4 linked regions of the Lytechinus pictus genome follow. Each later gene encodes a partner of the first gene's protein in a complex. Links are inferred from orthologs where the notes say so. Each region holds a gene or a part of one and is shown in the gene's direction. Other genes may lie near its edges.

Region 1 (7,976 bases):
TTTTTCTCTTTTTATTAAAATCAACTTTGTTTCGGACTTGACCTTAAACGAAATTAGTGAATCCCATTATTCAGCAATACATTTTCTGAAAACACAAGTCATGACTAACAAACTGCCTGCATGCCGTCATGAATTTCTAATAGGTGGGCTGTATAAGTTTTAGCAGTGATGATCTTATACATCAGAACAGTAGTCAATCCTATCAGCATGATCCATTACTTCTTGCCGATAACTACAGTACTTGTATAACTAAACATGATTATTCTAGAATATGAATTTATTCCTAAACCCGACTTTAACATTGACTTGTATTTCAAATACTTGTGTATTGTACATTTTTGAGTGAACCATGTATACCTGAGTTGGAATTATTTCCTCATGTTGACATGTTTTCATCATATTTTGTTTTGTTCTGTGTATATACATGTGTGTATAAACCAGTGAAAAAAGAATTTCCTTTATGGACAATAAAGTTATTCTATTCAGTTCAGTTCAATTATATTTTTACATTCTTATCGATGGTGAATAAACATTATTTCACATAATAAAGTACAAAAGAATAAGTGTGTGTGTAGGGGGGGGGGGTGAAATCCATCAGCTCGATTAGTACATAATTATTCATGATGACATGTATAATGCTAAACATTAAAATGGCTTAACATTATTGCTCCATGTCAAATTTAAAGAAAATTTAGTGTGGAGTTTGGTTTTCTGGCTAGAATATATACCCCTTTAATGAATTAGATTGTAATTACTTATTTTTTTTGTAGTGTTCTGTTTTGTCGTAGAGAATATATACCGAAGGATAGAAAATCATTATGATGTATTATATAATTATTAAAGATATCATAACTAAATTTATCCTAACTAATATCATATCAATCATATGAAATAATTATAAGTCCAAAACACCATCGATAGTCTCATCTGATGTCACAATTTACGGCGTATTGCGTCACTCATTATAGGGAGTTATGGCAATCGCTATGCAGAACAGTATCTGGAACGGGGAGAATCTATTGTCAAATGCCCTTCATTACAATGAAGTCTTTATCGAAAGTCGGTGAATTGAAACAACAGTTTCGTCCGTGACATCGACATCGGACAAAATGACATATTTGCCTTTTTGTCAGCTCCAAAACGTCGGACCATACTACTGTTCCGATTCACCAATTTTCAAAACAAACTATATTACCAGTAAGGTGATAATTGTGTTGAATTATTGAAAAATAAATATCTTGCCACAGTATATACTGCATTCGTTGTAATTTATATTGTGTGTGAAGAGTCTTATTGTATATTTCTACAATGTACTTTGGTTCAGTCTGTACAGTGATAACTGCTGTTGCTACTAATTTCTTCCCAAATCTTCAAGTTTTTAGTTTATTTCACCAATCATAAAAAATACAAAGAAAATAATTCTGCAAATACAATACAAGCAATCAGTGGAAGATTTTTTTATTCCTATAGGAAATAATTGTATTTGTGAATGAGGGCCCAACATGACCGTATAACACATTAAAAGTAAAATGAATCATTTATTAGATAGTATAAGAAAACAAGGGGGAGTTGACTTGGCTGGTCGTCATTACATACACACGCTACCCCCTGCATCTTACACATCTAAAAATTGGGGGGAAAACAACTGAGAGAAAGAAGATGTTAAAAAAAGATACTGTTAGAAAGGAGGGAAGGCGAGAAAGTGAGTGAAATGGGGAAAGATAGATAGAAAGAGAGAAGAGAGGGAGCGGAAGGGGGGGGGGGGGGGCGGGGAGATAGACTCGGATCGGAGAGAACAGAAAATTTAACAATTTCATGCATGTTTATTATTGGATTGAAGCTCGTTGCTCAGTGAATGTCACTTCGACATCATGACTTGTATATCGTCAGGTGTTTTCCTTAAAGGGGTACTTCGGGCTGAAAATGATAGAGTAAAATTCATCAAGCAAACAAGTTCTGAAAATTTCATCAAAATCTGATTACAAATAATAAAATTATAGAATTTCAAAATTTAGCAATATTTTGTAAAAGAGTTATATGCACATTCATTAGGTGTCATAGCCACACTTCATTTTTGTCTCACCTGCATAGCAGAGTGAGACTATAGGCGCCGCTTTTCCGACGGCGGCGGCGGCGGCGTCAACACCAAATCTTAACCTGAGGTTAAGTTTTTGAAATGACAGCATAACTTAGAAAGTATATGGACCTAGTTCATGAAACTTGGCCATAAGGTTAATCAAGTATTACTAAACATCCTGCCTGAGTTTCATGTCACATGACCAAGGTCAAAGGTCATTTAGGGTCAATGAACTTAGACCATGTTGGGGGAATCAACATCAAAATCTTAACCTAAGGTTAAGTTTTTGAAATGTCATCATAACTTAGAAAATATATGGACCTAGTTCATGAAACTTATACATAAGGTTAATCAAGTATCACTGAACATCCTGCATGAGTTTCACATCACATGACCAAGGTCAAAGGTCATTTAGGGTCAATGAACTTTGGCCGAATTGGGGGTATCTGTTGAATTACCATCATAACTTTGAAAGTTTATGGATCTGATTCATGAAACTTGGACATACTAGTAATCAAGTATTACTGAACATCCTGTGCAAGTTTCAGGTCACATGATCAAGGTCAAAGGTCATTTAGGGTCAATGAACTTTGGCCAAATTGGGGTATTTGTTGAATTACAGCCATAAATTTGAAAGTGTGTTGGTCTAGTTCATAGAACTTGGACATAATAGTAATCAAGTATCACTGAACATCCTGTGCGAGTTTCAGGTCACATGATCAAGGTCAAAGGTCATGTAAGGTCAAAGAACTTTGGCCACGTTGGGGGTACTTGTTGAATTGCCATCATATCTCTATAAGTGTATTGGTCTAGTTCATAAAACGTGGAAATAAGAGTAACCAAGTATCACTGAACATCTTGTGCGAGTTATAGTAGTTTTCAAAATCAGCACTGCTGCTATATTGAATCGCGTGATGCAGGTGAGACGGCCAGAGGCATTCCACTTGTCTTATGTTATTATTACATGAAATCATAATAACTTCATATTTTCATGCATGTGTGTATGATTATGTTCACCACATAATAAAGTCAGTTGCAGCAATGAGTATTTAATGCGTTAAACCAGTTTTTAATCCAATTTTTTTAGTTCTTGTGGTACAAAATATGAATGAACACATTTTCATGTAATAAAATACAAAGAACAGATGGGGATATCACATCATCGGTTTCCTCATTGTATATTAAAGGTCAAGTCCACCCTAGGAAAATGCTGTCTTGAATAAATAGAGAAAATCTAACTAGCATAGTGCTGAAAATTTCATCAAAATCGGATGTAAAACAAGAAAGTTATGACATTTCAAAGTTTCGCTTATTTTTCACAAAACAGTGATATGCACAACTTGGTGAGTCAGTCGATGATGTCCTTCACTCACTTTTTCTTTTGTTCTTTATTGTTTGAATTATACAATATTTCATTTTTTATAGATTTGACCATAAGGACCAACTTGAATGAACCATATAGTATTGAACAATATGCTAATTCCACATGTTCAGGGAGGAATTAATAGTTGTATCACTTGACAATGAGGAACAAATTAGAATATTTCATATAATAAAATACAAAAGAAATAGTTAGTGGATGACATCATAGTCTCCTCATTTGCATACCAGCCAGGATGTGCATATAACTGTTTTGTGAAATTAAGCGAAACTTTAAAATGTCATAACTTTCTTATTTTACATCCGATTTTGATGAAATTTTCAGTGTTATGCTTGTTGGAGTTTTCTCTTTTTATTCAAATCAACTCTTTGTTGGGGTGGACTTGTCCTTTAATGAAGACATGCGCTTTAGGACTAGCTGTGATATAATGCAAATCTGTAATAACTTCGTTATTCCTTGTCCGATTTTGATCATATTTTCAGTGCTGTGTTTGTCTGATTTTTCTTTATCTGTTCATATCATTATTTTCACCCCGGAATACCACTTTCTTTGTCAGTTTTCTTGTGTGTGGCCAAAAAGGATGACAAACTTAGGTGTTTTTTTTTGTGAATTTTTTCTCAACGCCCCTTCGATGCGCTAGAGCAAGATAGAGTTGATAGGCTACCCGATTCTTCTTCTTCTTCATTTTTTTTTTTTTTTTTTTGGGGGGGGGGGCAAATTAATAGAAACACCTTTAAAAAATATGGATTCGAGCATCGAGGCTGGTGCTCCGTTCGGCGCAGGAGCTGGCCCCGGCCGCCCCCCCCCCCCCCCCTTCATCGAAACGTATTATGGTGCTCTGTTCTCTGTTGTTGTTTTTTTAGACTACCTGATAAAAATGAAAATTATATGGCTATAAATCCTCGGTACCAGGTACAGAAAATACAGATAGACTTCTGTAGATACCATCTTTTTTTTTTAATTTAAGTGCAAATTTTGGTCTGTACCCGCAGACTACGAATATAGGGACAGCTGCACGGTCGATCACATGATATTCCGCGGTCACATGACAAAGTAGAACATGTATCAATAAATCGTGATCCGTCTGAAATTGAAAACTCTCTTTAAAAAATGGAACAAAATCTCGACAAACTTTTAGACGACACGTGAGTATTTAACTTGATTTAATACTGTATAGTATTACTATATAGTAATTTTTCTTAAATTGTGAGGGAGACTCAATTTTTCGAGGTCGTATGCGGGGATATTTACATGGAAATTATAGTTTATACCAGTCCCGTGCGTTCAATTTCATGTAAAGCAGTAAGCTTCTATGTTCTAGTTTTTGTTCACTCACGCGTATTGCGAGGTTAGTATTAGTATACTAGCCTCGCACCACGAACCGCGTTTGGCAGTGGATTTCTAACTAGTGGGTCGCGCGTGCTGGGATCTCACTTCTTGGGTCCACAACACACGACTTCTATGGCTTGATTTTTCTGTGCGCGGCGGCATGTAATGAACCCTTGGGTGGTTTTTGTTCGAAATTATGTTTTTGTTTTGCTGACGGCAGAAATCAAGGGAGTTAAGGTCCTTGTTTGTTCATGTGATTACGAGTCCAAGAATTATAGGCTTATAGCTCCATGATAAAAGTACTAGCCACTCACTCATGCTATTATTTATTAACGTAGTAAAAATCCTCAGACTCAATTTCATTCAGTTGATATTTGGTTAACAAGAACAACGATTTGGTTAGCTCATGTAGCTTCATAATTACGGAAAACATAGACCCCTATCAGACAAAGAGATATTAAAAAATGAACAGGTATGACTTCATTTTGGACATTTACAAATCTTAAGCCTGTGAACACTCATTTAATGAACCAATTCAATGAACAAGGTTATGATATAACCTGTGAATAAAGAAATCATAGGCCCAATTAGATCTATAAAATATCTGGATGTGGAAAAAAATGAAGTTTTCAGAACTTTGCTTAGCAAATTCTGAAAGATACTTACTCCTAAGCAGTGCTTAGGAGCAAGTACATGTATCTTTCGGGCAAGTTGGGTTTAGATGTATGTAACTCACACTAAATGCGAGGTTAGTGTGCATTTCATTAATATTGTACAAACATTTTCTTTTGCTCATATCTGAACCTGTATTGTTTTTTCCTTTTTTAAAAATATTCCTTAAATTTTAAACCCATCAGTTTCAGTTTGCAGATTAATTATTTCTCCAGATTTACACTGCATCCCACAAAAAAGGAAAATGGGTTCCCCACATCATTTTTCTTCAAGGGCAAATTAATTATGTTCCATTTATGTCATCATACAATCAATCATTCCTCTACATTTTTATACCTAATATGTGACAAACACTTTGCGCATTAATAAGCAAGATGAGTTTGAAATTTTAATGTAAAAATCAGGTTGTGCAGAAAAATTGGACAAGATTGGTTCGTGTACGACAACCATGCTTATTCGATAATTGACTCGTTAGCATTTCTTTCGGATTCTTTGTGAAGTTTCTTTCACTGATCCCTGAAGAGTCTATTCGGATTTTTACGTGAGTTTCTGCGCAAATTGTTTCTTAAAGACCTTAATATTGTTTTTTACCCACCATGCGTGATTTGCTATGCTGTTGGTCTCAAATTAAAGATGAGATTCCACTCCTACCATAAGTATCAAATTTATAGTTAAAACATATTTAATAATTGTGAAATTTATATCTGGAAATGGGTTTCCTCTACTGTTGGACGCAGTTGCACTGTGAGTGCGTATATATATATATCTTTCTACATCTGCATTTAAGGCAAATTATTTGTCTTCTTTCAATGTTCGCAATGCGCCTTAACGCCCTCTACCTTTGACTTAAAGTCTAAATGTGTATTATAACGGAATAAACCCATTCATAGACTTCGCCCTTACACAGTTGAGGCCAAAAGTTTACATACACCCATGGAATTCATTGAAATTCGTTCACTTGCCAAAAATCGTAAAATTTACTATATATTCAGAAATATAAATACTACCATGACAAATTTGGTATCAAATAAAAGATAAAAGAGTGTGTTAAGCTCTTTCACATGATTGGGATGCAGTTGGAATTAAAGTGTATTTCAGGTGGAATTTTCTTTGAAGAAAAAAAGTAATATTCGTGCCAAATGTGTTCTATTGTTTGATATTATATTTTCAAACATTGTTTCATAAAAATATATAAATGTCAAATCTATGATTTATATTACATTTTCTGTCATGATGTGTCACCACTGAACAAAAAAGTGTAATCTGAAATGTTTGTGTTGAGAAGAAACTAGCACAGGTATGAAATGTTTTTGTCAAGTTTTCATTCTAATTTATCTAATTTATGAAGATTCTTTGGGAAAAAAATTACACCTAAATATTCATCAGCTCCTGATGACAAAGCAATGTGATGAAGGGGCATTAAATACTCATTTGTTTTATATCAAATTTATCATGATAGCACAAATATTTTATAAGATACAGTAAGTTTTTGAGTTACTTCAGTGAAATTGTTGTTGCCTCATAGTTGTTTATTGATGTCAGGGAACTATTAGATTTTGGCAACCAGCATAAATTTCAATATATTTGTCATGTCTATTTTCCTATTTTTCTTAGAATGGATGCCCCTGGAGTTATGGGAGTTCTTTGTGCTGACAAACAGGGACTTTGTTACAGTGGTAAGTATGGTCCAACATTAAACTTTGTGGGAGACAATTATGATGTGATACACGGAGAGTTCAACAGGGGGGGGGGGGGGTGAGAATGAAATTATATAAAATTATATTTTTATCCTCTATGGATGAGGAAAAAATGGATTGACAACTGATTTATTGTATCAGAAAATCCTTGCTGCTACATATTTTTTACAAGGTAGTACACACATGTATGAAAATATGAAGTATGGTTTAATTTCATGTAATGATGTAAGAGAAGGGAATGTTGGGACATGACATCATCAGCTCGCCTGTTGCATATTCATGACAGCATGTAGATAACTGTTTTCACAAACTATTGCTAAAGTTTAGAATTCAAAACTTAATTATTTATTATCAAATTTCGATTTTCAGTGTTTTGCTTGGTGAATTTCACTTTATTTCTTTAGATACAATTATTTTTCAGCCAGGAGTACCTCTTTGCATCTTGTCAAAGTGATTAGATGCTTTGTCTTGTATTCTTTAAATAGATTCTGGATACTTCATGGACTTCTTAGTTCTAAACCCGGATTTCTAAAGCTTATTACTGATATCCTATGAGTGAACAGTAATTTCTTTTTTAGTTTCTTGTGTTTCATGGAGATGATTTTAATAATCTCATCTGTTCAATTTTTTAAATTGAAATTTACTCAACTTTATCTCTTTCAAATTTTGTTAAGACTAATTCCACTCACAATTCATTTCCTTTCTACAGCTAAAGGGACAGTCTCATCAGGATGTGCAGGAATCATAGCCTCTCTCTCTCAGCAAGCATCCCTTCTAGTACCAGAAAACAACAGTACTCCAGTTATCTGTTTAGAGTCAG
Region 2 (8,694 bases), on another chromosome or scaffold:
TTAACACCAGGGGAGAAGCTGCAATGGAATTGCACATTGGAGGATTGGTCTTCATGGTCCAACTGTCCGTGGCTACATTGAAGAATGAGGGTATCATCGGTCTTGACCTGTTAATTCAGATGCATGCTGAATTAGACTGTCGTAGGATGGAACTACGAACACCTTGGCAGTCTATCCCCTGTAAGGACCGAGAGCGCAGACAATTTTGCTGCAGATCCGTAGACTCCGAAACCAATATTGTCCCCGCCGGGCATTATGTTGTTCTCAAAGGAGAAGCGACTAGATGTGACTCCGAGACCATTAGCGGGGTCGCATTGTTGGAAGCCCCTGCATTTTTTTACAGAATTGAGCAAGAAGGGCCTGCTAGTAGCCGCGGCTGTGGTTCGAGCTGATGCAGAAGGTATAGAGGAAGCCCGTGCCCCTCAGTCTGACCAGATGTCGAACTCTGTACCTAAGCACCCAGAAGAACTCTATGAACGAAGTACAGAGCAACTCCCTGAGCACCAGCGTGGAAAAGTGGCGGCATTGCTATAGGATTTTGGAGATATCTTTTCACAAGTTGCAAATGACCTGGGGAAGACCGGTCTGGTACAGCATTCGATCAGCACAGGTGATGCAACCGGTGAAACACCCAATATGTTAATGTTAGGGCGAGAGACAATCCCATGCCTATGGGCTGGGATCTCCCTCCTCCCGAGACCGACGGAGATGACGACCAAACAGACTACAGTGCCAGGTTCCGGAATCATCTAGAAATAGCTCACAAGGTAGCGAGAGAAACCTTGAAGACAGCGAGCAGAAGTCGTTCTCCGACAGGAAGGTGCATACAGCTCCCTATGCCGTTGGGCGATTTGCATGGCTTCGAAAGAAGACCAGAGAAAAGGGTCGCTGCCCAAAACTGCAACCAAGATGGCTTGGCACTTACCTAGTGGTCACTCGCCTGTCAGATGTCACAGTTAGGATTCAACAGTCACGGAAGTCTAAACCATTGGAAGTACACATTGATAGGCTGAAACCCTATCAAGATATTGGGCTTCCGACTTGGGAATTCAGACCCCGTGGTGGAGACTTTGGAGCAGAGAGGTTCGCCAGGTGGTGTCAGCATGCATAATCACAACACATCCGACTCCCCAGCAGACATCCAGCCAGATGGCGAGGTGCCTGAAAACCCACCAGACCAGACGCCAGCAGGTGAAGAGGCATCTGAGAGACCAGAAGATGACACGTTGACAACTGACCATGATACTGAAAGTTCCCCAGAAGACGTCGTGCCCGATGAGGATGTGCCTGGAGATCCACCAGACTGAAGCCAGGCTGCAGGTGCACCCTTGCAGGTGAACCATATGAAGCTTCGGCAGACGACCACACTTTGGAAAGCTCCTCAGAAAACATTCCACCCAATGACGATGTACCTGGAGAGCCATCAGACAACAGTCCAGCTGACGATGCAACAGATGGTGCAACAGCACGGGGTACAACTAATGCACAATTACCCACTGCCATAGGAGAAACCGCACCTGAAAAAGAAACTTCAGCGAGACGGTATCCCTCCCGTGACAGAGGACCTGCTACATACCTGCGGGATTATTTTGAGACATGAGTTTCCTACAAACTATAACAGTCAGACCGCAGGTCCCTATGCTAATGAGCAAAAAGGCCAGATTCATCCAAATCATCTCGTGGCTGAATCCTCCTCCTTGCAAAATCTCGTGATTCGTGAGATTTTCTTTCTCTAAGAATTTACCTGTTTTAACCTCAAGTTAAATGAAATATTATTGCACCATCAGATAGAGTAAATGTTATTCTTTCATGTTGGTTATTTATTTTCTATACAATATTTTGTTAAATAAGTAAATTTCTGGCCTGAAAATGTGCCTCAAAACTGAATTTTCTTCCTCTGTTTTCTTTTGCAAATTGTGCAAAACTTTTTATTTTGAGCCTCAATGATATGTATATCATCATAAAGCTGAACTTCTGTACTTTCAATGCCACTCTTAATATGCGGCACCTTTTAATCGGGTCAAGATCACACTTTTCCCACCAAGGTACAAGACGAGATTTATGAAATTTTGTACTTGCATGAAATCCAAAGTTCTGATTGGTTGGATAAGGTTCACAGAACAACAGGCGCGGGTAATTTGAGGAGATTACCACATGGGAAGTGTGACCTTCCCATGAACCCAGGCACTGGAACCGTTGGAATTTGCCAGTGTGTGGTCTCTTTGACTAATCAGAGTGCATTATTCTTGTTTTCAAGCTGCTTTATGTACTTGGCCAATGAAAGGTGTGATCTTGACCCGATTAAACCAATTCTTATTTTGAAACCTTTACCATTTTAAAGCATACATGTTCAGCTTTATCATGACCAAAAAATCATTTGGGCTCAAACAAAAATAAAGTGTGAAAATAGCATCTTTTGTCAGGTGAAAATAAATATTTTGTAGCATATTTTAGATCAAAATTTTAACTTATATTACAAAATTTTTGAATAAATTCAAACACATGACCTAAAAGAATTATTCTTCTTCTTTACAATGATGCCAAAATCATGAAATTCGATGCGCAATTAGAGCAGCAATGACCGAACGAAAAGAGGTGTTTTGATCCGCATCAAACTCATTAAATATGCAAAACATCTCAAGTCATGAAGAAGCCACTTTCTTGGGACCTGCCGTCTGACTGATAACTAGGACTAAGTTTTCAGTTCAGATGGATACATGATAATGAACTCGATCCCAATCTTCAAGCTTTGTGCGGATACGTTACTTCGAAAATATTGACATTTGTGGACTCTAATTTATGTTTTAGAAAGTTGTACAGGACCTGAACAAGAATATATGACAATTTTTTTTATGGTGTTTCGAAACTTAAAAATGAAATTAGGTTGTTTTCGAGTTTTTGGTTACCCCCTGTTTAGAAGTGGACAGTTTGTTATTAATTACCTTGGGGACCAAGCTCGAGAGAGAAAGGAGTCGTGTAACGAACTATGTTTCCGTTTTAATGTCATAGAGAGCTTATAGGGTCTGTAAACGTAGACTATACGGAAATCCTGACAAGAAAACCGTGTCAGCTGGAAGTTGGATTCATATATAACTACTCTCCACAACCTACGGATCTTAGTGAACGCATTTTACATACAATTTGTTAAAGGTCAAGTCCACCTCTGAAAAATGTTAATTTGAATCAATAGAGAAAAATCAGACAAGCACAATGCTGAAAATTTCATCAAAATCGGATGTAAAATAAGAAAGTTATGACATTTCAAAGTTTCGCTTATTTTTAAAAAAATAGTTATATGAACGAGCCAGTTACATCCAAATGAGAGAGTCGGTGATGTCATTCACTCACTATTTCTTTTGTTTTTTATTGTTTGAATTATACAATATTTCAATTTTTACGAATTTGATGATTAGGACCTCCCTGCCTGAAGCACAAAATATTAACATAATGGAATTCCACGTGTTCAGGGAGGAATGAAACTTCATTTCACATGACAATGATGAGAAAATCAAAATATTTCATATTTCATATAATAAAATACAAAAGAAATAGTGAGTGAGTGATGTCATCAGTTCCCTCATTTGCATACCGACCGAGATGTGCATATAACTGTTTTGTGAAATGAAGCGAAACTTTAAAAGGTCATAACTTTCTTATTTTACATCCGATTTTGATGAAATTTTCAGTGTTATGCTTGTTGAATTTTTATCTTTTTATTCAAATCAAGTTTTTGTTGGGGTGGACTTGTCCTTTAAAATCAAATCTGTAGATTTACATAACACTAAAAGAATTTGAATGCATCAATAACCCATTGATTTTGTTTACCCAACTAAACAAAATCATATTTTCCAATCTAAACAATGAAAAATTAGAATTCGGTTTGGATTCAATGCAATTTTAAAAAAAAAAACACAAATAAATATGCTGTTTAAAATTGTTTACACTCCTACACTGTTAAAAACCCTGATTTTACAGGAAAAAAAAGATTTTGCAGAAAGCAATTTAGAATCATTCTGTAGATTCATAAAACAGGAATTTTTCTGCCCGTTAACAGAACAGGTCTGTTTAAAAAGGGGAAAAGGGTGTTTTCTTTAAGGAAATTTTTTAGGTTCCATACACCAAATACCAATTTCCTGTAAGATTACGCAATCTGGTAAGATTACAGGTGTTCTCGAGACTCTGCTGCAGGAACTTCTTTTATTTTAAGGATAAATTTTCTAACAGTGTATGCATTTTAGATGTTATACAATTCATCCTCATCTCGATTATTTCAGCACCAATCGGATAAAACACAATTATATAGTTTGCACTGATAATTTATCTTTAACTTCAAATTCCTTTTTTATTGGATTGAGTTAATGGCAGTATGGGCATGCAATTTAAGACAGTATTTCTTGGTTTTGTGAATGTGTATACGTGTTTCTCTTTTTTTAATGTAATAATAATTCCTTACTTTTGGTATTTTTAAGATACTTTTTGATATAATTTTTATTTCGTTTTAAATATAAATTATCAATCTTTGTACTATGAATTGTATAATTGTCAATCATTTTTATCTGTACATAATCCAACTCGTGTAAAATTTATACGGTTGCACTAAAAGAAGATTGAATTGAATCAATCTTCTTCTAGCTTCTTCTTAATTCTTCTTCTTCTTCTTCTTTACCTCCTCCTCCTTCTTCTTTTTAATTCTTATTCTTCTCCTCCTCCTTCTTCTTCTTCAAGCATTAGACTTACTGCTCTCAACTCGTCTCAACTGTAACTATTGACACCAAACTTAACACCGCATTGACACCGTGTATGACACATATGCACGTGATTATGATGATAGTCGTATTTACTGGCATGAATACGGTATCTGCGCGCTGCTGCTCTTTTTTAATAGCGCCACCACCATCAATAAACAACATACCGCATAATAATGTAGAAACCATCCATACCATATCTTCTTGTCCTTTTGATTTCCTGAAAAATAGACATTTGTTCAACAGCTCATGTGTGTGTAAGTTGATACTTTCGGAGAAACTAACATTTTTACTCGTAATAATTTTGGTTTTAAAAATTTGGTTGAGAGATCGCGGCGGAGCTCCCAGAAAGCGAAGTTCCCGGGCGAAGTTGCGCCTGGAGCGGCCTTGGTCGCTAGCTCCTGCCCTAAGTCTTCGGGCCCTTGGGGAGAGCCTCGCCTGACTCCACTGATCTGAGCTGCGGCTGCCTTGGCTTGGGGGGGGGGGGGGGGCTTGGAGTTGGAGCTGGGCGCGAAATTATTTTTCCCACTGCAGTTCTTGTGGATTCTTGTGGAAGCCAATATAAATATTCATGACTTGCGTCTTCGGAAGTTCAGAATAAGAGTACGCATGCGTGTGAACTTAATCTTTACAAAATTATGGTCGTACGCGTGTGTTGTCGTTGCTGTGTCTATGAATGAATCGGCACCTTCAAATTGCCGGTATACCCAGTCGTTGTGTGTCCGGACAGGTTGTGTGTCTGGACGATCAATTTTAGAAAGTCAATTGGAAAAAATTACAAGCGAAGTTTCATCAATTTTTACTTTTAGTACAAAATGTTAGAAAATATTATATAGGCCTAGAGAACAAAATAGAAAATGATTACAACAACTATTGAATTCATATTTTTAGTGTAATCTTAAGACAAAAAAGAAGGCTTCAAAAATATAAAGTGTCCGGACACCCAACCCCCCATCCTACCGGGTACCCACTATACTGGCTTAACGACATAACGTTAGAGTCTAAGTTAAAGTGAGATCAACTCATCCAGGATATGCGCCATCATGTACGTAGCTTGGCGAAGAACAACAGGAAACATCGGAGATTTTCCCCGTCTTTTCATAATATTTTTCTTGTTTTTTTAATGAATTGTTTTAAAATGAAATCAATGTCGGAAATTAAGTTGTATCCCCCACTGGGGATGAGGGTTTATACATGCGGTAGTATTTCATTAAATCTGACCAGAGATGATCCTAATCTTTTATTTGACATGTGACGATATCTGCAGTTATTTTATAATCATGGCTTTAAGTATAAAGATATAGGTGTCCACTTTCAAATACATCAAATTCGATGTCTGGATCTGGATTTATACGATGCAGGGCCCTCCTGGGCATAAACGCATCGGGTGAGAGAGGGCGGAGTGAGGATAAGAAGGTTCTGTCAATGGCCTTCTTGAATGAGCTTGTCGATGTTGAGTTGATGACCCGGGGGCCAGTTACATTGACGAGTGGATATCATGCGCGACCAAAAAAACGTAAAAAGGATGTCTTTTTCAAGATAGGGCATGTTACGTACATAACGTAATAAGCCAGGGTGTCAAAAACTAATTAACTGAAAATTACACTAGGAAAGTTACGTGTTTAGGGTCAAATTTGCGAGGGTGAAAAAATTGAGACTAAAATGTTTTATAAAGGATGTACTTTTTGCCCCAAGCCAGAGTCATCACTACGTGATTAGAGTACGATTTGCACGAGATGTGGGAGGTGGGGCTGTACTAAACCCAATGATGTAGGTAAAGGTAAACCGACGTCCGTGACATATATTGCTGTACTTGTTTAGGGCGTCAATTCAGGGAATACTTGGCAAGAGTATCGTTTTGTTTCCAATACTAGGGTATCACACGCCAATACTTGTTAAGGGGTGCATTTTCAGAATATGGAAAATACGTGTTTAGGGTGCTTTTCGGGTTCCACGACAATTGCTCCGCCGACAATTGCTCCGGACAGTTGCTCCGCCGACAGTTGCTCCGTCGACACTTGCTCCGCCGATATTTGCTCCATCGACATCTGCTCCGCCGATAATTGCTCCGCCGACATCTGCTCCGATTATCGACAATTGCTCCGCCGTTATGTTCTCCGATTATACGACATTTGCATGAACATCTTATTTCTCCAAGTTGGTCTATGTTAAATGATAAGAAATTCATCCTGATACAAATTGTTTTGTTGTTTCATTCTTGTTATTCGTTAATGTTTTATTTATTTTATTCTCCCCCTATCATCACAGCTTTCTTCTTAAAAAAAACAAAATTGTTCTCCCTGCCGCTGCCACTTGACAAATTGTAACGAAGAAGGGGAATGACACACTCCCCATTGAGATTTGATTTTTTTTTTCATATATTATTATCATTGGTTTCACTCCGGTCTTGAGCGGGGAGAGAATTTGGGGGGGGGTGCTGGACAAAATATCTCTTCTGCTTTCGAGCAACTTATACACCATACATTCAGGCGGGCTCTCTCTCTTTCTCTCCCTCATTCCCGTTTTGTTCTTTCACGCTGTTTATTTTCATTGGTGACCGCTTGATTTATTGTATTTATCAGCATTATAATTATGAATATTTTATCAATAATTTTCATTACGTCTTGGGCCTTATCTACCATTGCACCTTTTTTTCAATTTGTTTCGAATGAAAGTATGATCATCACTGGCGTACAGATGGGGGAGGGGCGTGCTAGGGGTCACGGATCCCCCCCCCCCATTCTCCCTACCAATGAAAAAAAAAGAATAAAGGAAAGGAAAATAAATGTCATCCTTGTCTGGCCCCCTCCATTTTTTTGTTGGCTCATTACGCTACTGGTGAGTTACTACATGTATAAAACTAGACTTCGGTTATATTTTTTTTCTATTCTGTGCATTAGCGACAATATAAATATATTTTAATAAATGAATATATGTATGTATCTCTCTCATAACGTCTAAACAAATAATGTTTTTTTTAAAAGACAATAATATATATACCAGTAATAATTTAGTTACAAATTCATGAAACCCAATACGCATCTCACTGAATTTATAATGCGAGCACGAAGCGCGAGCTGTTATTGACCTGGAAAGGGGACTCGTCTACCATCATTTGTTTTACCATCAGTTCGTCCACTATCCTCATGGTCTAATTGCCATTTCGTCCACTCACCATTTTGTCTAATAACCAGTTGGTCCAATAGCCATTTAGTCCATATATATACCATTTGGTCTAATTGGATTAAGTGTTCATTGTGCAAAATGAATGAAAATGAAATGGATATTAGACCAACTGGTAATGAGTGGAAATGGTGATTGGACGAAGTTATGATTGGACCAAATGGTTGTTTAGACAAAATGTTGATGGACGCAATGGCATTATTAGACTAAATGAAGTGAGACCATGTGGCGGTAGATGAATTGGCAATTTATTTTACCTATTATTGGGCCCTCACAGACTAAAAAATTTGGCAGGGCTTCTGAGGGCTTGAGAAATTTTTCGACATTGTACACCTGTGGGACATTGGGGGCTCCCTCCATGGATGAATGAATAATTGCCACGACTAAGAATGAAAACCAAAAAGGAGAAGAAATCACTGGCAATAGGCCTATATGTATACCTTGGGAGACTATCGGAGGAATGGGATACTGCATTATTCAATACATAGCATAGTGGGTCTACATTACGTTTCTTTCTTTTTTTCTTTGTGGTAAAAAAAATTTTGAGGAATTTTTGAGGGGGCTTCACTCCCAATGCCCCCTCCCCCGAAGTAAAACCGCACCTCCATCTGCATGCACATGTGCATATAAAGTACGAGACAAAATTTCACAATTATATTGCTTCAATTTTATTGGCCCATAACATAATAATCCTGATATATACATGTATGGGCCAATACAGCTAAAAAAAAATCAGAATTCCTGCTCAGTAATCTTATTTCTATAA
Region 3 (8,461 bases), on another chromosome or scaffold:
AACCGCTCGCTCGCGGAATAAAAAGCTTAAATTATATATCAATCACTTAAAAAAGTTTTGCTCAACTGAATTACTACAAAACACACGAGTACTTCACGCAGATGATAATTTCATGGTTTGCACCAAAATACCCATTTTGAAATATAAGTGCCCTTTTTGGGCTTTGCGCCCCCCCCCCCAAACTAAAATACGTTCCGCCGCCCCTGATTCCAGTAGATAGGATCTGTGTTCAGAAATGTGTAACTCGGTCGTTGGAAGGTTTAAAGCAGTGAAAAATGAGATTTACACTGTTTGGACATATACCTAGCCAAACAATCATTTTTTTTAATTGGTTCAACTTGATATTTTAAGCCCCTGGTGTCTAGTTACATGGAATGGCTGGACATTTTGTTTGCCCCTGCCCCCCTCGGTTCCACCGCCCCTGCATGAAAAGCTTTCTTTAACTAAAGTCAATTTATTGTCTGTTTAAAGGTCTAGTCCTTCAAAGCAAAAAAGTTGATTTGAATAAAGAGAGAAAAACAAAAATAAAGAGCATGATGCTGAAAATTTCATCAAAATTCGGATGTAAATTAAGAAAGCTACAATTTTAACATTTATTCATTTTTACAAAACAGCAGTTTAGGCTGAAGGCACATCACAGGAAATGCAAATTAGAGCCAATGATATCACGCATATGATTATATTTATTTGTATTTATTGTAAATGATAATACATTTCGAAGATTTGACAATTGTATAAGCTATTACTCGTTCATTGGATTATAGGTTGCACTAATAACAATTCAACATGTTATTTCATTATGAGGAAATAATTCCATATTCCATATATTCCATTTAAAATACACACAAAAAAAAGATTAAGTGGGTGACATCATCAAAGTCCCCATGCATGCAGTGTAGATTCGTAACACCGTCCATGTAGGCGTTCATGGAGTTGACCCAATTAATACAGTTCTCTTGTATGTATAAACAAGATAAATCTACACATAAGTTAACTTCAAATCTTCGAAATGATCCTAAAAACCTTAAAAATCGCTTAAGGAGAAGGATGTGCATATTTTGGCAAACGTCTATTTCTTTGGGCGATTTTTAACAAGGTTTCTTAAGTTTTTTAACACTGATTTACTTACCTGGTTATCACCAAACTAATGACTGAAATCACTGAAGTTTCCATCCCTTCCTTTCATGTTCAGTAATATCAGGAAAATTAAATCTGTCGGCTGTCCTCTTATTGGAGATCTGCTGTTTAAATTCTGGTTGGACATCTTTCTTAGTTCTACAAGCATTTACGGCTAGTTCTAACCTGATCCTGTATTGGCAAAATACATTCATTCTCGCCTGCCCCATGATCAGCTATTCAAATTCAAATTTCCCGCCATTGTGCGCTCGTATTGTTTCGCCCCAATGCATATCAACATCAGCAACTGAAATGGACGACATTCGTTGCTTTCGTAAATGGATTCGTGGTGATTGCTTACGTCTATGTCGTTTCAATAAAATTCCATGCACATGAGACAATAATCATACATATTATTATCATTATTATTATTATTATTAGCATTACTATTATTATAACTACTATCATCAATTTTTTTCGTGGACGAAATGACCTTAATTTATTGTTGAAAACCTTTTTATTTCTTTTGCATGTCAAATTTTATTCTGGAAATGTGCCCCCTCCCCTTTTGGAAAATCAAGTTTTCAAGAATAGCAGTGACAATACCTTAATCGATCAAGCTGAAATCAGGAGCCAAAATCCATATTCAGGGGCGGATCCAGCTCCCGCCAATAGGGGGGGGGGGGGTGGCGAATTTTTTTCACCCATATTTTCCCCGATCGGCCGCTCAAGGTTTATTTTTGTTTGTTTCTTTCGGAAGGGGTTTGTCTCAGTGGGGGGGGGGGGGGGGGCTTGATACGGCATATGAAGTAAAATTTATAAGAAGCAAGCAAAATTTTTGACATTTTAATTACAAAAATCACAGTTTTTGATAAATTTTGACATGACATTTGAAAAATTATAGGCCTATATTTCACACTTATCTTTTTCCTTTTCTCCCCATTTTCTTGGTCGTAAAAAATTGGGGGGGGGGGGGGCAAAACGCCGAGGTCTTAACAGTCATTTCTTAGCTTTATTCTTATAAAACAACATAAAAAAATGTAATAATCTCATTAGCCCTATTTGAATAGTGCGAGCGCAAAGCGCGAGCTGAAATCTTTTTGGAATTTCATGTATTTTTTCCTGAAAATTGAATATTTTGGGCAATGCTTGCGAACCTGAACAAGATGCGTATGCAACTAGAAGCGCGAGCAGAATTTTTTTTATATGGGTTCTGGCTTGATCGAAAAGGGACCTGTTATATAAGGACGATTTGCAGTTAGCCATCATTTAAGACGATAAATATTTCAACTTTTAGATAATACGAGCGCGAAGCGCGAGCTGAAAATTTTTGACATTCTGACCTAAAAAATTGACATTCTAAGCGCTTTTTTGAAATAAACGGTATAGGTATAAAACTGCGGATGCGAGCGCGAAGTGCGAGCGGAAAAAATTGAGATTTCAGACCTAAAATGGGACACTCATGTTTTGTAAAAAGAAAAAGGAAGTTCCTACATTATATAATGCGAGCGCAAACTGGATAATTTCAGCATGTTTTGAATAAAGATCACTGGCTGCGTATTTCAATAAACATGATTGTGTGCGCGTGTTTTAGAGTTAGACAGAATCTGGGCATTCTGAATACATTTTATTTTTATCATGAAAATCAATAATGCGAGCGGAAAAAAAAAACGGTATGAAAAGGGTAAATTTAAGCACTGTCTAAAGCACTGTAGGGATTTTGTGAAAGTGTATGTGGATAGCACTTATACCTTGGTCACATTTGCTCTACGGCGGCCGTACGGCGAGTCGAAAACAGCGGTTTTATTAATTTTAATTCAAACCACCTATATGTAGTTGGTACAAAAGATGTTAAAACGGCTGTTTTCGACTCGCCGTACGGCCGCCGTAGAGCAAATGTGACCAAGGTATAATGATGCGAATGCGAAGCGCGAGCTGATATCTTTATTATTATTTTGACCTAGTACCTGGATATTCTAGGACTAAGGACATTTTTTCATCAGATGAAAAGGATGACTGTCTTCCTCTTCCTAAGCGCGATATGAAACTTGTTGATATTCCTTTCTGAAAAAGGGACTATTTCGTTATTATAGGAATTTATGAAAATTTAATTATCATATTTATAAATGTAATAAGCCTAATAAGTGAGTGATATTTGTTGACATTGAGGCCTGAAACCTGGATATTTTAAGCACTTTTGTAATCATGAATATAGGATTTATGAGTTGATATATTTTTAACTATTAATCAATTTTTGATAAACTGTCATAAAAGGGGAATTTTAAGTAGTTTGTTATAGACAGGGGCGGAACCAGAATTTTCCAAAGGGGGGGGGGGGGGGGGCAAATTCGGAGGAAAATTTTGACAAGCCAAAAAAAAAAGGTCTTCAATTTCAAAAGAGGGGGCACACCTCTGTTTTAATGGCATAATTTTTACATAACAAATTTTAATTTTGCTTCTCAAGGGGGGGGGGGGGGGCACGTGCCCCCTGTGCCCCCTGGATCCGCGCCGGGTTAGAGAATTAATATATAAAGAATCACTAGCGTACCTAAGGGGGGGGGGGCAGGGGGCATACTGCCCCTCTGACGAGTCACAACTGATCCAGGGAATAAAAAAAATGCAAAGAAATTCGACGTATGCCCCCTCTTTTGAAGTTGAAGACCCTTTTTTTTTTTTTTTTGCTTGTCAATTTTTTCACGGACGAAATATCCTCCAAACAATTTGCCCCCCATTTGGAAAATCCTGGGTACGCCGCTGTAAAGAATCTTATGGAATATACAAAGACAATATGTATAGGCCTATTTGGCAAATCAAATACTAGTAATGCGAGCTCACAGCGCAAAAAGCTGCAAAGGATATTCACACCACAAAACGGACATTTTACAGAGATGAAAGCTTGATGTCCGAGCTGAAATATGTTTTGTATTGACTTCAAAACCTCATAATGAAATTTTAAGCTACATATATCAGCCTATTGAGCAATATATGTATCTCATCGAACAGGCTATGTGAGAGCGAAATAAAGTGACATGAAATATATAATTTTAAATCATTTTCCAAATATTCCCCGGACGTTATCTTTTTCAATTGTCTCCCCCCTCTTATTTTGCTCTTCTGTTTTCCTCCTTTCTTTCCCCTTCTTTTTTTTCTTTCCCTTTTTTTTGTTGCTTTTTTTGCTCCTCCAATGGGGGGGGGGGGGGGGGGGGGGCGGGTCCCTTGCCCCCCGGGATCCGCCTATGCTTTTCTCTATCTTTTATTTCTTATATTTTCTCACTTTTCATTTTTTCCTTTTACCATATTTTCAAACTCTTTATTTCCCAGTATTCTTTGTATTGATGTTTTTATCGTTCTATTTCTTTTCTGTTTTTGTTTTCCTTACATTATTGATCTTATTTAATTCTGATATTTCCTCTTTTCATTTTATTTTATTTTATACTTTTACCATATTTTACATTTCTTTTCCCTTAATCTTTGTATAGTCGTTTTTCTCCTATTTCTTTTCTCTCTTCATCTGTTTCCTTTTGAATTTCTCCCTTCTTCTTCTTTTCTCATTTTATCCGCTTTTTCTTCTATATTTCTTTTCCCTCCTTTCCCATAGCTCCCACTTCCTTTTCCCATCGATCTATGTTTTTCTAAGATTTTTGTTCATAGTACTTGTTCAAGACGTTGGGATAGATAAATGAATTCCATGAATAAAATAAAGGATTGGTTTTCCGAAAGAAAAAAATAATTTGGGTCAGTAATTGATTTATTTGCCTCATTTAAAAAAATACATGTACATGTATATGCAATTATTGATAATATCTAGAAAATTACTTAACACTAAACACAAACAATTACTTGCAAAGACATTAAACAGACTACGGCTGGGAAATCATATGACTGCAACAAGTCACTGCGTACGTACATGAGGCTATTACTATACTAGTTGCATGCAATTCTTGTGCACTCACGTCCAACGCTGACTTCATAATAACGTGATATCGTAATTCGAATTGCACAAGAGCTAATTCTCTAGTTACAGGTACAGTTAAGTTGCGGTGCATTAGTCATCAGTGCAGTGCGAGAGCAGGCATCACAATGCACAAGAAGCTCGGAAGAAGTACAACGTTCTGATCAAAATGACTTAAAAGTGGACCTTTGAAGGAATTGAACTTATTAATTTGATGACTGAGTTCCTCATACGCTGCCTCAACTTCATAGTTCAACTTCAAGGACAGCAAGACTCTTGTCTTCACGATAGCCGGACTAAGTGGGGCCAAACATTCAATAAATTTGATTTTGAATTCAGCCAGCGCCAGTACTCCTGCAACACAGACGTAGAATCAGAAGAATTAAGACGACCCTGATCTCGGATAGAATCAAACAAAATGGGTTGCTGCTATGGAAAAGATGATGATAGCAAATTGCAAGTGAGTGCAGTCTAAATGAACGTCATGAATGTTTGACTTCTAGTTCTAGTTCTAAATCTAAAGTAAAGAGAAGATCTAAACTTAGTTAAAGAAACTAGGCATGCTAGGCCCTAAATCTAAACTAAAGACTTTTCTATTTTGAAAGTCTTCGGTTGCCGGGGGGGGGGGGGGTAGCTAGGCGGCTTCTTGAGAGTAAAAAGCATTTACTAACGTAGGCTTACTCTCAATGAAGCCAGGTCTTCCTTCTCATTCACCTACATGAAGCCAGGACCCCAAAACCTGAAACTTTCACCCCCGAGATTTCTACTTTCCTTCTAAAAGATCTAGCCCTAAATCATGTACATGGGATAAAACTTCATTTCCGACATTTCTACGCTCCCGTTGTTATTTTTAAACAAGAATTCATCAAAAAAATGAGAAAAATATTGTGAAAAGACGGAAGAGACTTGCCCGATGTTTACGCCGCCATCTTGTTTCCTATTGTTCTTCGCCAACGTTACAGACGCGTGCGTTGCGTAACGTTGGCGAAGAACAATAGGAAACAAGATGGCGGCGTAAACATCGGGCAATATCGAGAATATTTTATTAACATGAATATATTTTTTCTTCATTAAATGAGGGGACATTTGAAGCTTTACTCGGTATAAAAGTGTGGTTGAATTACGTATTGCTTAATCGATCGTTATCGTAATCGGACCTAATTGTTTTCTATTTAATTAAGAAAAAGGACAAGACATAAATTCATTCCTCGTAAATGACAAAGTATGACAGCTTCGGTCTCGTCTTTGATTGAATTTTTATCAGTCTCAATTTTTTTATTACCATGAATTTATTTATTTTTCTCATAAAATGTGGGGACATTTTAAGCTAAACTCGGTTAAAAAGTGTAGTTGAATTACGTATAAGTGTAATCGATCATGATTGTGATCGGGCGTCCATGTAATTGTTTTGTATGTAATAATATAAAAAAATGACATAAATTCATTCCTTGTGACTGACAAAGTAATGGTAAAGTATGTATATTTCACCTTCTGAAATATACATATCAATATTAAAGATAAATAAATAAGAGATGAAGGAATGAGGTTAGAAAAAACAGAAAAGATAAAAATTCAAAGCAAGTCAACGCATGTTCCCTGATCGTGTACCGGAAATGGTTGATAAGGAAAATTGAAACAGGAAGTCCAAACAACCTGCTCTCAGTTGCTATTACGCTGGTAAAATTCATATTCCAAATTTGAAATGTTTTTCCATTGTCAATATTTTCTAAAAAGTGGTTTAATCTGGTCATTTACTGAAAATGAAATGATAAATTTTCAGTTCCGTCTTGGTTCTGACGATCAACGCCGAGTGATTTCATAACACTAAAATACATAGTACAGTCCCATGTACTCATTTTCATGTTGGAAATATGTTTGAAGTCACTCGAGTGTCGATCTTTCGGGACCAAGAATGGACTGATATTTTATCTTTTTAAAGTAATTGATTGACCAGATTTAACCACTTTTCAGAAAATAGGGACTTTCTAAAAGATTTCATATTCTTTGGAATGTGAATTTTACCAGTATAATAACAGTTGAGTGGAGGTTGTTTGTCTACTGTTCCGACATTCCCGATCAACACTTTCCAATCGGAGAAGCTGCGTTTGCAATGGCATTGTAATCGATCATGATCATATCTACATGGAATAATCAATGAACGAATAATATTCTGTTCTTTGTAATTCTGTTTCTGTCCTCATTCTCTCGTTATCAATATTATTATTTATTTTTTTTATTCAATTTAAAAATGAAAGTAGAAATGACTCTTATTTTTGGTTTCAAGATTGAAATAAATAAAAGAAAGTTATGCAGCAATTTTTATAACCATTCTTTTTAAAAACAAAATTTATCATAAATATACGACAGAAATTTCAATAGTTAATTTTTTCGAGGGTTGGCAATCCTTAGTTATATGTCGATAATTTAATTGCGCATTTATTGCCGAACCCCGAACCGAACCAAAGTTCGGAAATTATTTGCCGAACCCTGCCGAACCGAACAGAACCCGAACATGCCACCTGACTTGCAGCACTAGTTAGGGTCCTAGTTTTACCCAAGACTCGACTCCAAGTCTAAATAATCTTAAAGTCATCTTCTTTTTCTTCTGGGTTGATCTGCCTCCTTCAAGATTGGATTCTCGAAGTCCACCACATGTCGACCACCTCTTTTGAAACCGACCACCTTGCGTGCATTAAGTTAAGATTATTGCGTATTACAAATGCTACGTGAGGGAGAGTAGGCGCAGTGTCCAGAGCGATAAGAATCAATTTTTTATGAGAGAGAAAGAGGGATAAAAAGGTAGGAAATTTGTAGAATTGATCAAAATTGTATTGACCAGAACCGAACCCCACTGAAATAGCTTTCATGGCAATACAAAGTTTTTTTTCAGGCCAAGTTAGTTGTCTTAAAGCCAAAAGTGAATTAAAACCATGTAAGAACTGTCTGACATTGTCAAATCTTTGAAAAAAAATGCAAATAAAACAAGGTTAAAGAAAAAAAAATTAATGCAAACGTACATCCTTCTTTGCAAGGAGTTGTGTTTGAAGCACATTTCATTTGAAATTAATGGTGGTCAGAAATCTGTCTTGCCGGTTGGGTCCGACCACTCTAGCATTATAACACTGCACCAGAGGCACACAAAAAAATTCAAATTCAATCTTTTGGCTTTCTTAGATGACTGTAATTGATCTGAAATAATTATTGACTCGAAACCCTTGCTACCCTACATTAAAGGTAAATGAGGTGTCAATTCATGATGATATTTACTGGACCAAGAAATTATAGTGTGAATTCATTAAATGAAATACAAAAGTAGCATTTAGTGAACTTGTATGACCATATTGATGCATTTCACTCACTTTATCAGAAAAACAATTCTTCTAGAATTCTTTG
Region 4 (8,628 bases), on another chromosome or scaffold:
ATCATTATCATATTATTTGTCTTTTTAAAATTAAAGTATATATCTTTTTTTGTTCGATCGTGCTCAGTAAAATAATGTAATTTGAACTAAGAATAAATTCAGTGCTTACATGACAAGTTCATTTAAAGAGATGTTGGAAGTAGATAGGATGTAATACAGCTATATAGGTAGAGCAAAGTTTGTATGTTTTTCATAATCATCATCTTTGTTCGATAACATATTTTCATAAGGGATTTTTTTTTATTGAAATATGTAACAAAATTACAGCTTTAATGGAATTAAAGCTCTATTTCCAATAGAGCCTATTCTCTCACAAAATTTGAATGTAATTTTTATAGCTTTCCCCACCTTTACTAAATATGCTATACAGAAATCTTTACATATAGCGATAGATGTGTAGATCGGACCACAAGCGTTGGAATATAATTGTATAAGAGCTTAAAGGGCGATTGTTTCAATCCATATACTTCACTGAGGTTTCAATTCGAAATAAACCAATCCAATTTGGCAAAATTCAATCTCTACTCATGGTCTTTGTCAATTACCACACATTTAAAATGTTGGGCAACATACCGTCCACTATAGTTGGGTAATGTATGTCGGTAAAAAATAATTCTGAGCAATTATTATCCAATTGACCAAATTTATTACCAAATTATTAGTTTAATTACCCAATTTGGGCAGATTTTAACCAATAGTTGTGTGGACATGCAGGGTTGGTTAAAAGTTGGGCATTTTTTTGCCCAACTATTTTAAGAGTGCATGTATTTGTAAAAATCACGGTATTTGTACATTTAAATTATTGCATTATTTTTCTTTTATCTCTGGCTGTTTTGAAATTATTTTCATGCAGGGTTGGTTAAAAGTTGGGCATTTTTTGCCCAACTATTTTAATCGCTGATGTGGTTTACGGTACACCATGTGGAGTGTTATAGAAACAGTGGATAGTAGAAGAAAAGAAATGGATAGGCGAGAAAGTGGGAATTTGAGAGTAGAGTAATCTTTCTTGAATGTAGTCCTGAAAAAGACTGTAAACCAGTAGAGATTGATGATTTGAAAACAGCTTGAGTAGTAGGATGGATGAGGAGATGCTGGCTTGAGTCGACGAGTAGAGATGATGAGAAGAAGCAGTAGAGAGACTCGACGTTTCGGGAAGTCTCTGACAGTCAACCTGCCCGAAACGTCGAGTCTCTGACAGTCAACCTGCCCGATACGTCGAGTCTCTCTACTGCTTCTACTCATCATCTCTACTCGTCGACTCAAGCCAGCATCTCCTCATCCATCATACTACTCAAGCTGTTTTCAAATCATCAGTCTCTTCTGGTTTACAGTCCTTTCCAGGACTACATTCAAGAAAGATTACTCTACTCTCAAATTTTCACTTTCTCGCCTATCCATTTCTTTTCTTCTTCTATAACACTCCACATGGTGTACCGTAAACCACATCAGCGATTATGCCACCATGCAAACCTTCAAACAACATCCAACTATTTTAAGAGTGCATGTATTTGTAAAATCACGGTATTTGTACAATTAAATCATTGTATTATTTTTCTTTCATCTCTGGCTGTTTTGAAATTATTTTCTTTGCCCATTCGCAGACCCTTTTATACATGGGACAAATAACTTCTCACAGCATTCATCTTTATGTCAAAATCATTACCTTTTTGCCTAGAGGGCCTTCTTACTCGTATATTTCAAAATCATTGTGTGTCGCATCAAAATTTCATCCCCTAAAAGTTTATGGAAAAATACGCCATTGATATAACAATAATCCTGTGTTTCGGGTGAGAATTATTCCCTTTATGTATATAAGGAGGAACAACGGGGTTCAAGAAATGAACTTTTTGCTATCATTTATATTTTTAACAGTTTATCTTATGTTCACACTGAAAAAGTTCCCGGTTTTCAAACCACAAACGGAAAAGTGATATACTGAAAGGTGATGAGATCATCGATATGTTTATATATCGATGACTATATTGCCAAGATATAAACACTATAATCTTTACACCAGATGACTGCCAAACACGAAAGATGGTATACTGCATTTTCTTAAAACAAAGTTTGTTGAATTGTGTCGGGTAAAGTTCACAGAGATATTCGGTTCAAAACATTATTATTCATGCCGGTTCCAGTTGATCCGGCGACAATTGCTCCGATGGAAAATCTGCACTTTAAGCCAAACATGAAATCAAACCTCCAAAACTAAATATATTCTTATCCTTATCTTTACATTATTCTGAACCAAATACTCTATTACAATCCTTGTAGCCCAAACCATATGCCCTCTGAGATATTAAGACCGGTGCAAATGTCGTGTACGTCATGCACCTGCAGCCATATAATGAGGGCTTCCCAAAACCGGACAGAAGACTAGACCATTTTATGTGACTTGAGATTGATACTTTCTGTATGCAATTGTAACATATTTGATTATCTCATTGTCAAAACATTAAAAAATGAGTTAGTGAAATTTAATGAATCATATTTTTAATTCCATGAAGAAAGATACGAGATCTTGGATGGGAGACACACAAAACTCACCAATATTGTTGACAGAAGTTATTACTCCCAAACAGCCCTAGCTTCTATTAATAAAATCTGACCCCCCCCCCCCAAAAAAAAAAAAAAAAAAAAAAAAAAAATATTCAAAAAAAAAGAAGAAATGATTGAGTTTTCGAGCTCTCTCCAAAACAGAAATAGGTGGCTGACAGTGTCAGTAACAGAATGGGGTTATAAATGATAGGAAAGTAATTTTGGCAAATATTGAGGACAGTTCATACGCCCCCCCCCCCCTGTTAACCAAAATAGTACTTTCGTCTTGTACTTCATTTTGACAAATTGAAAAATATGTGACATTTATCCGCTTTCTTTATTCACATTTCATGTTGTTGCATTTAATACTATTTGTGTTATTTGTGGCTTTATGGGGACATTTTAACCTTAAACCTATAAAAGAATCAAATCCGCATCGCCTTTGCATTGTTTTCCCCATTTCCGTGGTGTCTCCAAAGAGGAAATTGAGAATGTCTGCCTGGACAAAAGAAAATCTGCACAACGAAAAAAAAAAATCAATTTGATCATACAATCATACGAAACTACACTCATTGCCTTTTAGGGACTCAGAATTCACTTTATTGCCCTGATGATAAATCTCACTGACACAAATGAATTGTTCATAATTATTTCAACAACAAAAAAAACATAAAAATTCACACACTGAAAAAAATGGAAGGATACAATACATTTTCTCTGGTTCATGTCGATTACTCCCCCCCCCCCTTTTGTGTGATTTTGTCATTACGTGATCCTATATAAAAAAATTGTATTATAATAAAATTCTGCATTTCCACTTTTTTGTTAAGAATCATAACGAAAGTTAATAACTTTCATCGAGGATCTTTTTTCGCTAATAAAGGGAAAGAAAGGTTAATATAGGCTATATTCATTACAAAAATGATCAATGTATGATGATAAAGACCTATCAGTCCTTTCTAAAGAAAGATGGCGCTAGAGTCACAAAATAATATACATGTACATGCTCATTTCACTGATGTAATATCATGTCTCAATATCAGGTATGTATATGATAATCAGCGTATATAGAGCTTGAAGAAATTTGTTGAAAATTAAAACGCAGACGTTCAGTTGTAAGACAGGAGCTCTGAAATATGGTCAAGATATGATTCACTTGACTGGAGATACGTGCCTTTGTATTTCTATAACTGAAATACCCAAAAGGATTCAACCTTCGTCTGATTAAAATGCAACATAAAGTATTACAGGTTCTCTAGTCTAGTTAAACACATTTACTTAAAATGAAAAATGTCCCATTTGGGTTTATAACAATTTACTCCAAGTTATTTGGCCTAAACTCAGTCAATGTTGCTTCCTTGCTTTAACTATTATCATTTATATATCTGCTAGGATCGAAAGCTTAGGCCCCTTTTGACTTTCTAATTTACTCCATTGGCTCTCTTTTATTAGATAAGCAGTTTTTAGCAGCTTCTTTTTGCCATTTATATATCTCGTACAATGAGACCTGAAATAAGTGGAGATCGGAGAGGAACACCTTAACACCCGCTTTACCTTAGTTCTAGTCATTACTTATTGTCCCCTATTGAATTTCTCATATAGAGAAATAACCAAAGAAAATTATGCTACATTCTAAAGATCCAAAACAACAAGATTTTCTAGGCTATCCAACGTCACGGTGGGGATAAACGTATGTAGTGTTTGCACTAATGAGTCAACAAATTCAGACTATAAAAATGGACGCACATATTTAATATAAGAATAAAAAATAAAATTGGTTTACTGCCATTTGATCTTCCAATTATAAAAAAGCAATTTATGCAATAACAATCGAACTGTTGAACAAGTATTTAATGAGTTGTAAATTACGCTCTTACATAACATTATTTGTTATTATCGCTTTTTGAGGCCTTTTTTTATCGAGCATTGCACACTGGCGGTGAATGATTTGCCAGTATTGGGATGCATATGTAAAAGAAAAATAAATAGATAATGAAAAAAAAACTGTGTGGATCTTCGTTAAAAATCTCAGTGGCGGATTATATAGGACTTTGTGGTTGACGCGCAGATGTTTGCTACAAAGATGAAATAAAGGCAGTGCACATAATGGTGGGATTCCCTCCCCTCCAGTTAAAGCGTGTAAAATTGTATGATCATCCCTGTATTTTCATGCTACTCTGAAAAAAAAAAATATAATGTACAGACTATTGGAGAGTCAAAGATTTACTAATTCTAATATCTGAAATCGTTTTACGTAACAAAATTTATATCAAATTATATCCTGGCACTTTTTTTTTCTTTTTTTTGCCAAACTTTCAAAGCCGAGGAAAATAAAAGTAAAAAGTTACGTGGCTTTGTTGCAGACTATACAGCAGAGATCACGAGACTCACGACTGAAGCTGAAGTAGTGAAAGAGGTATTGTGGAGTCAGAAAGTAAAATTCGATGTCTAATTTTAAGTTATGAAATGAAATAATATTGACACATAAGTGAATACTTAATGTTAATCGAGCAGTGCTTCGAAAATTTGTGAGAATCGACGAATAAAGCTTGGCAGACGTGAAGATGGTTGAGGTGAGTAATCATTTTCCATACAAATAGTAAAATACGTGGGACTGTAATATAAATCGTCGCAGAGCGTACATTGATATATTCAGTCATTAACATTTGTCTGTCTTCTGATAATATGACAATTTCATCAAAATCTGAGAATCATATAAGAGTAGAGTTAGAATAATTCATTCGGCCAAATTCTGTATTATGCTCAGCGGCCTTAAGGCTTAAATCCACCAGACCTACTGAATATCTTGTGAACTTTTAAAAAATATAGATGATAATAGATCTAGCCTAGCCCTAGACCTAGTTGATTCTAGATTCTAGTCCAGAAATCTAGATCAAACATTCACGATTCTCGTTTATTAACGTTAGCCCAGATATCGGCCATTGCGCTCGTATGTTGGAACTTTGACTGGCGCTTAGCTACAGCATCTAAAAGGGGAAGCTTGATCACCCTCCTTGATTACTGCTTAATTCCCTCTTGTAAGTTGTATTATGTGCATGGGCAAAAAGGTGCGCAGTAAAACAAAAGAGCAAATAATATTGAAGCTTACCACCTTTCCAAATTGGTATATAACGTTATGGAAAATACAGAATTTTTATGACAAACATGCAGGATCAGCCGGGGTTTTCTTTGTTTGCCATCATGTTTGTAATATGTAATGAGGATCGTCCCTGTATGGTAGTGGATCGTATTACCGAACACTTTTCATGAATTCAATCATATCAAACACACTATTCTCATAAAATTCACCAAACTTTCACCATGAATACACAATTACCTACAAAATATAAATATGTAAAAATTTGGCCGAAATCGTTTTTCCTATTTACGATATTAGCTTCCAATCGGACCCCTCTTCGCATGTGAAATATTTTGGTCACTTGAAAAAGGTATCGTATTACCGAACGTGTGTTTTCTATGGGAAAAGTTGAGAAAACAACCAAAACAACAAAGTCACTGATGCGCTATTTTGACCATATCTTATTGTTTTTCGAATATTAAGACTTTGAAATTGTGTTTTTGACAATTTTTCATCATCTTTCTATTCAAGTTCTCTTTGAAAGGATGTTGCAAATTTTTGAGCATATGGAATTATTTTCTGATGCGTATGATGCGCACGTTCGGTAATACAAGGCCGGTCGGTAATACAATCACTCACTATACATATAGACGTTGTTTTACACTACAGGTATTGTCTTTTTTACAATGATTTCTCCACATAAGAAATCTAGAAAGTTCATTCACCTGCCAAGTGTCATCATGTGGTCGTCATTAATCAAGAGTGATAGACAATATAAACTTATCAGGTTTATAACAAGATTATTTAGTAAAAAATAGACGGTGAACTGTGGGAACGGAGGTCACAGAATCTATTTTTAGCACTCAAATTCCCTAATACTGTATGTCCTACAGGCGGAAGTGAAAACAAAAACTGTCTTCAGTAATAAGGACAACCTCATTTTATCGAGACATGATTGATGTTTGTTTATGAGGATATCCTTGTTTTCTGGGATGACACCTCTAATGCACCAAATACAGAGGCTTCAGGTTTAATTTAAACTCTTGTCTAAAGCTGTGGTTTAGCAAATTGTGACAGGAATCTTTAAAAGTACCTGTACAGGTATAATTGATATATCAGTTACTCTGATTATTCATAACTGCGTTAATATGCATAGCGGGACATAGTAATTTATATAAATTAGGAACTGAAAATTGTAGCACTTGATCACAATTTGAAAGTTTGTACAACTATGAAAACAGCTTCTATTTCAAAAGTTTAAACATGGTTCCATTTAAAATTGTTTCAAATGTTATTTTTGGTTGCAGCAACTGAAGAGATATTTGTGGAGTCTTTTGCAAATGTGAGTATTCAAATACTGTTTCATAAACATTATTTTGATTTTTTTGTAATCGGGGTTGGTCTTTAATGGGAGTGGTAGATTTTCAAGTGATCAAGGGCAAAAAGTGTAAAGATGGGGAGGATGTAAAGAAAAAAATGCATTGTTGATGAGATGATTTGCATCTATGAGATGTCTTGTATCTTTCTTTCATTCAATATTGATTAAAACTTTTTGAATTGCAAAAATATCCAATATTCCTTCACCTTTCTATAAAAATATTGCATTTATTTACAGACTAAAATGGCATGCTAGACTAAGGGTCTAGAGCAAAGTCCTCCACATCAACATGAATGCAGCCTCTCAACTCATTCTTTATGACCAATATTTGTATGTCAGTATATGATAAAGATGAAATACATGTCCTTCTCATAAGTGAATGATGATTGGTAGCAAAATATTTGAAATGAATAATTTTTTAATTTATCCCAAGTCTTTCTATTTACCAATGTCAAATTTTGAAAGATGATTTCATATTTCTGTCTGAATCATATTCAGGGTTGAAGGGCTAGAAGCCATAGTAATTACAGATAGAGATGGTGTCCCTGTTATTAAAGGTAAGTCCTACTGCGTTCAGTTTTTAATATATTTTGGGTTGAAAATGCCTTGGCAATTGGCAAAGTTTTATGTGGTTCAAACTTTTTTTCTTCTTCTACATGTAGCTTTAAAAGCAGAATCTACGGCCAATTAAAATTGATATTAATTAAAAAAAAATTTTTTTAAAGCGCTAAAAATTAAAGTATGAAAATGAGAATGGCGGCAGATCAAGATGGGGTGCAAGAGACATACAAGCACTATTTATTTTATATTCATATTATGATACTGATTGTTTATTATCAAATATCACTAATCCGTAATTGTGTAAAGTTTATACAAAAGTCTTTTGGTTGAATTGTAAGAAAGAAAATAGCTGAATCGACATGTTCAAGATGGAGAAACCCACATTTTGCATAATTGAATTGTAAATTAATTGAAAACTTCTTTGTAACAAATTACAAAAGAAATTATGAATGCATAATCTTACTTGCATTACCTGTGCTTTGCCTACTGTACATGTAACTGTTATGTGAAAAGAAATAAATCTTAAAAGTATTATTATCTTTCATCCAATTTTTATGCAATTTTCAATAATATGCTTGTTCAATTATTTTTTTATTTATTCAGATCAATTGTTGCTTGGGGTGGACTTTGCCTTTATTTGTAAAATTTTGATTTGGTGGTGTAGAAGGAGCAAAGAGTTTGCTTTTAATCTTTTTAAGGGTCTTGTATAGTTAGAGCAATGTAATCCCCTGTGTTTGTACGTGCTTGTGTTTTTGTTTTGAGAGTCTATTACTTATGCTCTAAAAAATGAATTTGTGATATAAATGAGTGAATATGAGTCAGTAGTGGAAATACACTGTCATAAAACTATTTTATTAAAAAAAAAAACAGGCATATTAAAGATATTGGACTACAGTCTAAAAAAGTGTATATTACCCTGGAATCTGATTATTTAAAGAATGATTACATGTTAAGATTTGTTTAGGAGCTTTCTTTCTCACTTTTTTCTTTGGTAGTGAAATCTGATACCACTCCAGAACATGCAATGAGACCAGCCTTCCTTGCCACATTCGCCATGGCTGCTGACCAGGCC

What was found.
Region 2: ragulator complex protein LAMTOR5-like (region 1) and folliculin-like share a complex: the UniProt entries of both Homo sapiens proteins name them as parts of the lysosomal folliculin complex. The link is inferred for Lytechinus pictus from reciprocal best matches to the Homo sapiens genes LAMTOR5 and FLCN.
Region 3: ragulator complex protein LAMTOR5-like (region 1) and ragulator complex protein LAMTOR1-like share a complex: the UniProt entries of both Homo sapiens proteins name them as parts of the ragulator complex. The link is inferred for Lytechinus pictus from reciprocal best matches to the Homo sapiens genes LAMTOR5 and LAMTOR1.
Region 4: ragulator complex protein LAMTOR5-like (region 1) and ragulator complex protein LAMTOR3-like share a complex: the UniProt entries of both Homo sapiens proteins name them as parts of the ragulator complex. The link is inferred for Lytechinus pictus from reciprocal best matches to the Homo sapiens genes LAMTOR5 and LAMTOR3.

What each region holds. Positions count from the first base shown.
Region 1 is NC_087247.1:51,474,118-51,482,093, reverse strand, and holds the start of ragulator complex protein LAMTOR5-like, read left to right. Parts: upstream 1-4,446; 5' UTR 4,447-4,568; coding exon 4,569-4,603; intron 4,604-7,073; coding exon 7,074-7,135; intron 7,136-7,865; coding exon 7,866-7,976. UniProt on the Homo sapiens protein: As part of the Ragulator complex it is involved in amino acid sensing and activation of mTORC1, a signaling complex promoting cell growth in response to growth factors, energy levels, and amino acids.
Region 2 is NC_087254.1:2,675,591-2,684,284, reverse strand, and holds the start of folliculin-like, read left to right. Parts: upstream 1-4,895; 5' UTR 4,896-5,002; intron 5,003-8,694. UniProt on the Homo sapiens protein: Multi-functional protein, involved in both the cellular response to amino acid availability and in the regulation of glycolysis.
Region 3 is NC_087249.1:39,304,960-39,313,420, forward strand, and holds the start of ragulator complex protein LAMTOR1-like, read left to right. Parts: upstream 1-5,138; 5' UTR 5,139-5,486; coding exon 5,487-5,528; intron 5,529-8,461. UniProt on the Homo sapiens protein: Key component of the Ragulator complex, a multiprotein complex involved in amino acid sensing and activation of mTORC1, a signaling complex promoting cell growth in response to growth factors, energy levels, and amino acids.
Region 4 is NC_087251.1:16,375,116-16,383,743, forward strand, and holds the start of ragulator complex protein LAMTOR3-like, read left to right. Parts: upstream 1-4,894; 5' UTR 4,895-5,102; coding exon 5,103-5,111; intron 5,112-6,924; coding exon 6,925-6,959; intron 6,960-7,493; coding exon 7,494-7,552; intron 7,553-8,551; coding exon 8,552-8,628. UniProt on the Homo sapiens protein: As part of the Ragulator complex it is involved in amino acid sensing and activation of mTORC1, a signaling complex promoting cell growth in response to growth factors, energy levels, and amino acids.